Drosophila melanogaster: one gene and its partner. The protein of the gene in region 1 interacts with the protein of each later gene in a biochemical or structural test. Each region holds a gene or a part of one and is shown on either strand. Other genes may lie near its edges.

Region 1 (4,907 bases):
AATATTAGTCAAGTGCTGCGAGCGAGTCAAGACCCGGGTGCTTGCGTACACCACACATTCAGATACAGACACAGAAAACACAAGCCCCTAAATCGTAACAGAAGAGAAAACCAGATTTATTTCATAATTATTAGTGTTGTTTTTAAAATGCGCGATATGTTGAAGCGAGTAAACATAGAAACCAATGTATTTATTTTAAGCCGTAGCACTTAGCTCTAATTTTAAACTATCGAACTTCGTGGCCGCCCTCCGGTCAGTCAGGTTGATTTTGGTCCACTTCGGGCAATCGATTCACCAATTCCATTGTTCAAGCCATGCATCTAGCCTTGCAGCTGTACCACTATACAACTCGAATCGATAGCCAAGCCGCGAAGCCACCATCTCCACCTATCCAGTCATGCTAATCACCAAAACACCATTCGGTGTTGATGAAATTGTATATCGGAAGTTTGTCTAGACATTTGCTTGGGGATCGGATCCCTTGCGGCTTAGCCCGTGAGTTGGGATTCAGTCGCGAAGAGAGGCACTGTAATTATATATATGTATATGATATGTGTATCTAGTTTGTGGCATTTGTGTCGTCGCTTAGTCTAGCTAATTTGTTCTCGAGATCTCCTCTTCACCGATTGTTTCTGTTATTTTGCACTAAATTGTTAAAGCCAGAACTACTTATGTAAAAAGGATGAATTGTCGAGCGACGCGCCCAGCAGATTGCTCCGATCCGATTCTAATGCAAATGTAAATACGAGTTAAACAATTAAGCATCACACAGTTAAACAGAGGAGGACGAAGAAGAGGACACTTTGAAGGGCGATCCAATTAACGCAAATATAAATTATATAACAGATATTAATAATCCCCTCTATATATAAAACAATTAAATACGAGTAATCAAAAGTTGAATTGTAACCCCCGAAAGTATTGCACATATTTATGTATTCCAAATTGTTTCAAAATTGAATTGAATCTAATTAATTTTTGTTTGATTGTTAACCCGCTTTTAAATGTAAATGAATGCGATTAGTCCAGCAGTAATTAACTTTTATATTGTAGTATCCCATTCTAAATCATTGACATCAATTATTGCCGATCAGCTCCGGGCCAGGATAAAAGTCCTTGGGCGCCTGGGTCTAGGGCCGGGATCCGAGAGTCGCCGGCTCATCTATAGTATAAACACGCATACATATATAAAATTCAATTATTAATAATTACATTTTACGGTCTTGCGTGTGTATTTATTGTTCGTACAAGTCAAAGCAAAAATACTAAGTAAACTAAATTTAAACTTAACAATTGTTTCCAAATTTCAATTGTATTCTGGTCTAACACGAAGAAGCCGAAATAAATTTATTATACAAACTCACCGCTTTGTTTTACAAAGGGTATTGCCTAGTCGGCTTTGCCCATGAAAAGCTCTGCCAGGATGGTAAACAAACTGATTTTCGGGGATGGAACTTTCGACGACGCCAGCTGCTTGCAGTTAGCTTTCACTCTCTCCGCTCGGGCTTTGTTTTGTTTTGGGACAGTAACGGGCCACAGCCGGCACATGCGCTTTGCCCGCTCCCCGGAATCGCTGAACTTCGCCGCAGAGTTTTCCGCTTCAGAACCCGGAGGGCAGACCGTCGGAGAGTTCGAGCCAAGTGCGGACAAAGAAGACTTTTCCGTGCTGCTGCTTCTGCCAAAAACACAAAGTGGAAAATGTGATGTGTTCGCTTTATTTGTCGAGGATAAATCAATTCCGCTATTAACTAGACTACGGGCACGTACCTGGCCAAAAGCATCGAAGAAAGGCGAAAGGGAATCCAATAGGCCCAATTGAGGGCAGACCGTGGAAAAACCCTCTTCTATCGCGAACCAGTTCGTGGCAGTGTGTGCGTGCGTGTGTGGATTTTCGCCTTACTTTTTTCATGCGCAATTTGGGTTACAAAGCGAGAAAAGCGCTGCTTAAAATGCATGTTTTAAGCGCGTCCCTTCATTGATTTTCCTACGCACAAGGAATGATATACGAAGTCCTCACCAGGAACAAAGGGCGCAGGCCAACGATGAGGACAAAGACGCGAGGAAGCTGCTTCTAGCTTCCCAGCATTCATTAGGACAGGGCGAGGACCAGCCCCGCGCAGATCAGGAAACTCATCCCGGGAGGCATCCTGGCTCCCGTACTGCCCAGTAGCGGCATGGCCGGCCTCATCGGTGCCGCAAATGGCAAACACCACCACCCACACCTCATCTCGCCCACCCACACGTCACTGCCGGCCGGCATATGTAGTAGTGACAGCGGCATCTCCACTTTGAGTGCCATCTCGCCGCCACTCTCCACCTCGACCACCACGGCCTCCGGTGCAGGCGGAGGAGTGGGCGGCAGCCCTCAGCTGCGCACCTCACCTGCGCTGAGTATGCTGGGTAGCGCCACGGCGACGGCCAGCGGCGTTACCGCCTCCTCAGGATGCGGTCTAACTGCCGGGATCCTGGGCCCGGCGGCCAGCATTGACCTGGGCAGCTCGCCGCTTTCTCACCGAAACTACAGCAACTCACTGAAGGGCTTTAGTTTCCGTCGCAGCTTCGACGACAAGATCATCAATACGCCGTACTTGTCGCGCGCTCCAGCCTACACCCACGGCATTCCCTATCCGCATTTTCACGGTACTCAGCCTGCGGCCACCACGCCGCACCACCTCCACCTACACCACCATGGGAACGGCACAGCTGCGGGATCAGGTTCCGGTGTGGGATCGGGACCGGGATCTGGCAGCGGTGCAGGAGGACTCTACCAGCAGCCTCTGTCGCTGGCCTCGATGACAGCGGCCCTGCCACTGGCTCCGCTCTATGGATCCCCGCTGTCCCTGCCGCTGACCTCCTCTCAGTCCACCACCAAGCTCTCCTACCGCGACGACTTTCTGCAGCAGATTGGCTATCTGCCAACTACGCGCATCTACAGCACCCCGACCAGCATCGTCGACGAGGACAAGGCCCAGCAGGACTTCCTCTCGCTGTCGCTGTCGCCGCCGCTCAACCGACGGCGGGATATGCCGGCACTGCGCGGCCCATTCGTCAGTCTGTAAGTACTTCATCGATATCGTTGTCCCTATTTGGTAAAACATTTTTATTGTGCTATAAAATTAATATAAGAATTTAGTATATATTTCTATTTTCGGCTACAAATACCATATTTGCCAATATTATAAGATAAACTTCCTTCGATCACTTCATGATCACTTGAACACTTCATCTTCAAAAAAAATGTTCTTGACATGAACTGACACTGAGACATGATCAGAAGATCAGGATCTTTTAACAAATAGAGCTGGGCGTGTCCGTCCGTCCGTAATTTTGTATAAAGTTCGACCACACGTTTATTTCAAGACGTGTTCATGACGGACTACTAGAAACGTTAACTAATACTGCTCATTGGAAAGCGACGTCTCTTTAACGCTTTTCTGTTAAGATATCTCAACTCAATCTCTCAACTGAGTAACGAAGTAACTCGACCAAATGCATTTAATTTGTATTGACAAAATGGTATTAGGTTCCATTTCTGAGTGACACAGTATAAGCCTGTAATGTAAATAAAAATATAAATTGACAATTAATGAAATAATATTAAAGGGCATACCAGCTTCGACTTAGTAAAGTAAGCTTTTTTCCAGTTTTCTTTCCCATCACTCTCATGCGGATAAAATATGAACATAAAGTATACGCCGCGTGTATTCCACGTGTCTCTCACAGGCAGGAAATAAATTTATCGAACCGTAACGAGCTGCTCCAATATGTGAGCCGTTCGGGGATGGCCTCACTATTCGCGTTCCCACTGTGCGGGCACAGTGGGCCTCATTGTTGACGCAACCCATTAGTTCGATACCCTTCGCCACACAGTGTGCTTATCCCGAATGGGATGTGATTCCACACACTACATACTTACTTATGTGGTCCAGTTTTTTCGACAGTGGTACCAAGCAAACTTTACCTCCTGCGTCCCATAATCCTACATCGATCCCCCCGCATGAGTTCTTCCATTCAGTCCGCTCGGTTTGTTTACGTTTTTAAATTGCCCTAACCGCAAGTAGGCACCACGTGACGCCAGTGGCTAACCAATGAGCACCCCCAACCCAATCACCAACCTCCAACCCCCAGCGCATCCCCGCAATAACACAAACTCACTGCAATCGAGCAAAACGATGACGTTTTACTGCCTCTGGCTGCTCTGTATTCGCACTGATTTTCTAGCCGACTTATTGTTTTCATTCGCTTCTTTCGGCGTCTATAAATAATAATTTTATTGTGTTGTGCGGGGGGGGGGGGGGTTTGGTGGTGGTGTTGTTATGTACGCCGAGTAGAGCGCGTTCGTGTGTCAGAAATAGGGTGACTCAAGATGTCAGCAAGCTTTTCCTTCTAAAGAAATCGCCATGGCTCCATAAGGATCAACGGCTGACTCAAGTTGGGAACGGGGCTGCAAAATCAATAAGGCCGGTTAGTCCCAATACGAACTCACACATTTGCATATTGTGCAGGCGGCGGACGGAACTGCAGTTGCATTGCGAGGAATTTTTCAATCGCACCTAATCGCTCGAAACTACCTTTCGAAGTGGTTTCGAAACCTTTTGGAATTCGAGGTATTCGAAATCCTGCCTGTCGAACACCCCTCTGCACGGGCGAGGGAAAATTTGGCAAGATGCCTAAGAAATCTCGAAGCACTCGATGATGACGATGATGTTGACGGGCATGGCCCCGCATGAGTGTGTGCTCATTTGGTGGACTCTTTCCTGGTGTAGTGCAGTCCATGACCGGCAAAGGCAGCGAACAACGAGCAGCGCCACGACATCGACTTGATGAAGTACATTGGATAATGACGCCAGCAAAATACACGGCGCATAAAATTATTCATTTACAAAATATCCAACTTTTTTGAATAA
Region 2 (4,918 bases), on another chromosome or scaffold:
TGGGATGCGGTATGCGCGCAGATTCATGGATGCCCGCGAATTGGAGCGCGACTCCCGCACGCTGATGAACCTGCACAATAACCGAGCAGGGAGAACGGTGCGCATGCATAAAATTTAATAATAAATATGGCCTAGTTAATAGTTATGTTTTTCTCTTATCAGCTGGTCAAGAAGATGCTGCGCACGGACTGCAAGTGCCATGGCGTCAGTGGCTCCTGCGTGATGAAGACCTGCTGGAAGAGCCTGCCGCCCTTTCGACTGGTTGGCGATAGACTCATGCTGAAGTATCAAAAAGCCAAAACTGTTCAAGCCGTCAAAGGCAAACGTGGACTGAGATTAGTATTAAGCAGGTGAGAAATGGGAATCTTGCAAGATGTTGCATGATATGTAGGCAATAATCTAATGGCTAAATAAGTATTCTTCTAAAAAGAATAAAACACATAGTAGTCATTAAGTCCTTTTTAAATGCAATATGTTTGCTGTGCCTTCTGTAGCACGGTATAATATCAACACATTTTCGATCCCACATATTAACACATACCTCTTTCCACTTTTAATTTCTTGCAGAAAGAAGCATGCCGGCACCGCTCGTGCCCAGAAACCGGTCCTCGATTGGCCGAAGCGCATGGAGCTGATCTACCTGGAGGCGTCGCCCAACTACTGCGAGCGAAGTCTGCAGACGGGCAGCCAGGGCACCTCAGGTCGGACCTGCCAGCGGACCGGCCACGGCCCCCAGAGCTGCGATCTGCTCTGCTGTGGGCGTGGCCACAACACGCAGCACATTCGAAGGACCACGCAGTGCCGCTGCCAATTCCGCTGGTGCTGCGAGGTCAAGTGTGACGAGTGCGACGAGAGCTACGAGGAGTTCACCTGTAAATAGACGGGTAGCGGGAGCATATCGCTAGAACTAGGGCTATGTCATAGGAAATGCGTTGATTAAGTATTATGAGAAATGTATTACAACCGCAGATACGCACCGCGCCACCATACAGACACATTCCAGAATAAACGTAACAAGTTAACATCCCCAACGAATACTGTCTTATTATTAAGTTCGTATAATTCAAATAAGTATTTAAGTTTTCTTAGAAAAGAACCTTCTGCAAAAAAGCTAATCTAGGTGAGCTGATACATTCAGTCTGCTGTTTCAGATTTCTTATTCCTTAAAAATAGTTTCCAAAATAATGAAATCCAAATCTTTAAGAATCTATAATCTGTTCTTATAGAAAACTGTTCCTAAAACCAACGAGTTCATAGTCTAATTTTGAGGGCGGTTTGAATAGTTGGCGCGCAGCATTGCCAACGCTGAATGTGGAGCAATACGTAAGACCCACATTCGTTTAGCGTAACGCAATGCGCTGGCTCCATATTTTGGTATTGGAATTCCGGAATCCATTAAGCTGGCAGCTCGAGATGCCAGCACTCACTGAACTGCGCGAGCGCCGAAAGGAAAATTCATTGATTGCAATCGCGCGCTCTCCGGCTAGCTCTCCCTATGCCTAGGCCAGGAGGAAAGCAGAGGGTGGTCGGTAAGGAAAAGTTGGAAAACTCACCACTTGCCAGCGAATCGGCGACTATATTAGCAACTGGCTTGCACGAGCCGTGCTCAGTTCTTTGAGGGTAGTTAGTTGGACAACGGCGTTGCCGAAAACGGGCCACCTCAGCTGCCGCACAATACATTTTTGGGTTAGGAACACACATAGACACGAATACCAATACACTCCCGCATGCACACACACATACACACACGCGCAGTATATGTATCTGGCCGAGAAATGTATAAGGCCAAGAAAAGTCCAACTTAATTGCATTCGCAGCGGAGAAAAGTGAAAGAATAGCGCGAGAAAATTCCATTGACTGGCGAAAAGTGCTTCGATCAAATGCATAAAGTCCCCGTTAGTGTGTGTGTATGTGTGCGAGTGAGTGAGTGTGCGTGAATGGCAGCACTAGCGCTAGAGGCTGCTCCCTGGATACAGAAAAGTGATTTCCTGCAAAAAGTGCGAAAAAAGCGAGTTAAAAGCAAATCGAGCTGGCCAAAAAGCCGCCTATAGCGCTCAAAATCGTGTGACAAACTCAAGGAACCATTTCACACACACCCTTTATACGTATATATATATACAAATGTGCATTTGTGTATAGTATATCAGTGTGAAAGACCAACGTACAAACACACACTGTCAATCAAAAGGAGTCATCTGTCCCACTAAACGCTGCCTATCGATTGGGGCGAAAGCAAAAAAAAATTATTATAAATTGCTTCAACCTACATATAAGCCATGCGAGTTATACACACACACTCGCATTCGCACACCCACAAAACCGCACTCACACACACACACACACACATACGCATACGCCTACAAAGAGACATTAAGTTTGAAAAGCTATAAGCTGTATAACAGAGCCTAGAGCCGAGCGAATGAAGTGACGGAAGGTGGGGTGCCAGCATAATGTTGAGCCACCCAAACCACCCGCTCAGCTCCACCGCCCCTCGCCCCTCGCCACACGCCACTCCCCCCACAATCCCCTTTCGTTACGTCGAACCTTACGTTGTTCGTGAGCGTAACTCGTGCGTAGAACACTCTCCACTCCATTTTGCGGAGCACTCTTCAACTCCCTATCTCTCCGTATCGCTGTGTTTGCTGTGCCTGTGTGTGTGTGTGTGTGTGTGTGTTGGGCTCGAATGTGTGTCAGCGGGAACGAGTGTAAAAAATATCCTCGTTGGGCACGAAGCCACCAAACCACTTGGAAAAATAAATGAAACACAAAAAAACCCACTCAGTGAATGAAGACTTTAATTAGTTTAGCTGGAAACTCACGCGGTTTAATTATCCTCCCACACAGCCATGTACATAAAACAAAAGCCGTTTAAATCATAAACACAAAATGCAATTAGCCAGCGAGCGCACGCCACGAAAGTCAACAAACTAACTAAGCCAGTGTCATCAACTAAATTAGTGCAAGCAGCTAGCCGACCGGAACCGGAAATGCCCATTGAGCCGCCTGACAACAACCACAAACACAATCACAATCGCAGTCACCAGCACCATTGCATTGGCAACGGCCATAAAGACGAGCAACAAATCGCCCACACACACATGTAGTTGCAGCGCGAGTGCGTCAGTGTGTGCGGGCTCTGAAAACCGGAAGCGGAAGTCGAGGAGCAGCAGCAGGAGCAGGAGCAGGAGCAAGAGGATTAAACGAACGAGGAGGTGCAGTAGCAGGAGCAGCAGCTAGCTTAGCCAGTTTTTCATTCGCCCGCAGTTCGTTAAGGAAAATCATTCAAAATTCATCGCCTAAGCAAAGCGGGTGAGCTATTTAACCGTATTACGTATACGTAACGACACCCACACTGACACTGAGATACACACACATAAACGCACACACAACCAAAGAAACACGGCAAAAACTTCAATTTGTGATGTGAACCATAAGCGATATTGATTTCTGATTTGTGCGTATGCCTTGTGTAACAGGAGCCGCCATAATTTAATCGTAATCAGTTATAAGTAATCTGTTTTTGTGCCTGCCTTTGTTCTCTCTGTGTAACTTCTTTATCTCCTGTACGTATCTGTTGTGATTTCTTTCTTGTGATTTTACCGATGAATATGTCCAGCTGAATATAAAATACGATCCCCGATTATCTAGACCTAGTTGCAGTCCTAGAACGTAGTCGAGTAACTTAGTTTAGCGAGTAATTTTAGTCTGTTCTCCATGCATTACCCATACGCCCCGTTCAATCAATCAATCATCCGGAGATTGGCAAGCAATTTGAAAACTTATAATTAGATATGTGGATGGTGCCTTGTGGGGCAGGCTCGACGCATTCGATTTGCTCGCATGATTTGTCAGTTTTTTGTTCAGCTTTTTTGGGGGCCGGCCCAATCACCTCCTTTGCGTGTCAATGATGCGGTGTTTGCCTTTATTATTTACTTCTTTCGGCTGTTATTTGAGTTGCTTGCTCTAATTTTAGATCAGCCGAATAACTTTTATTGATTTCAAATTTCAACCTTATTTTACATGTGGTCTGAGTCAGTGTCTGTGTGTGTCTGTTGTGAGAGTCAGTGTGTGTGCGGGCGAAGAAAACGCCGCCAATCCATATATTGGGGCAGTGGTAACAACAAAATACGGCAAATATTTTACGATGACGCTATTGTTGTGAGCGGGAGCGAATGGAGAAAGCAGCCAGAGGAACGGAGAAAGGCGAGAGGAGAAAGGGAAGTGCGCTGGTGAGATGGCACGCATTTGCGCACTAGCCTCCCAGTGTGGTGAGTTCTCTCTCCGGCTTTCTCCGGGGACGCCTCTCGTTTTTTCGGAAGCTATTCAACATGTTTGTTTTGGGGTGGAGGCCCCCGGAGCAGATAGCCTGATAAGATGGCCTCCGGACGGACAACAATCGTAGTGGCTTCCAGTTTCAGCTTCAGCTCCAGGTCCCCCAAGTATGCAGCTAGAAGTGCAATCCGTCTCCCGCTCTCCGCATCTACATACATCTGGCAGTATGGCAGTATATATCTGGATATGTTTGCCCAGCAAAGTGCACTGCCTGGGGCTCCCTAATGGCATGGCGATGTAATCGAATCTGGGCCTGATATTTTATGGCCTGTCTGCCATATCCTGACCTCATCTGCTGCGCTTCCTCCATCTTTTTATGTCCCCATTCTCCCTGCCGCACACATAGAGCATCCACATCCACAGAATCAAGCTGAGGCTTCCTTTCCACGGCTTTTGGCTGTGTGAATGGGCTTCCGGCCTGCTGATTCATTTAGCATTCATTTGAGCCGCTGCAGCTGTCGCACCGCTGCCGTTGATATCTGCACTCTTGGCCCATTCACATCATTCACAGCAGCCGAAGGTTCAACATTTCGTCTTATCACCAGGTCGCATTGTTTATGCGGGCGCCTTAATTACAACCTGCTAT

Evidence for each region.
Region 2: of the proteins of Srpk79D (region 1) and brp, one has a biochemical effect on the other in vitro, tested with the Drosophila melanogaster proteins (one study listed by BioGRID).

Annotation. Positions count from the first base shown.
Region 1 is NT_037436.4:22,272,384-22,277,290, forward strand, and holds the start of Srpk79D (Serine-arginine protein kinase at 79D), read left to right. Parts: upstream 1-1,601; 5' UTR 1,602-2,174; coding exon 2,175-3,055; exon of another isoform or gene 3,056-3,108; intron 3,109-3,162; exon of another isoform or gene 3,163-3,333; intron 3,334-4,907. Other genes in the region: Csp (cysteine string protein), read left to right, coding at 1-8.
Region 2 is NT_033778.4:9,502,160-9,507,077, forward strand, and holds the start of brp (bruchpilot), read left to right. Parts: upstream 1-1,605; 5' UTR 1,606-1,686; intron 1,687-2,844; 5' UTR 2,845-3,309; intron 3,310-4,918. Other genes in the region: Wnt2 (Wnt oncogene analog 2), read left to right, coding at 1-97, 163-350, 568-880.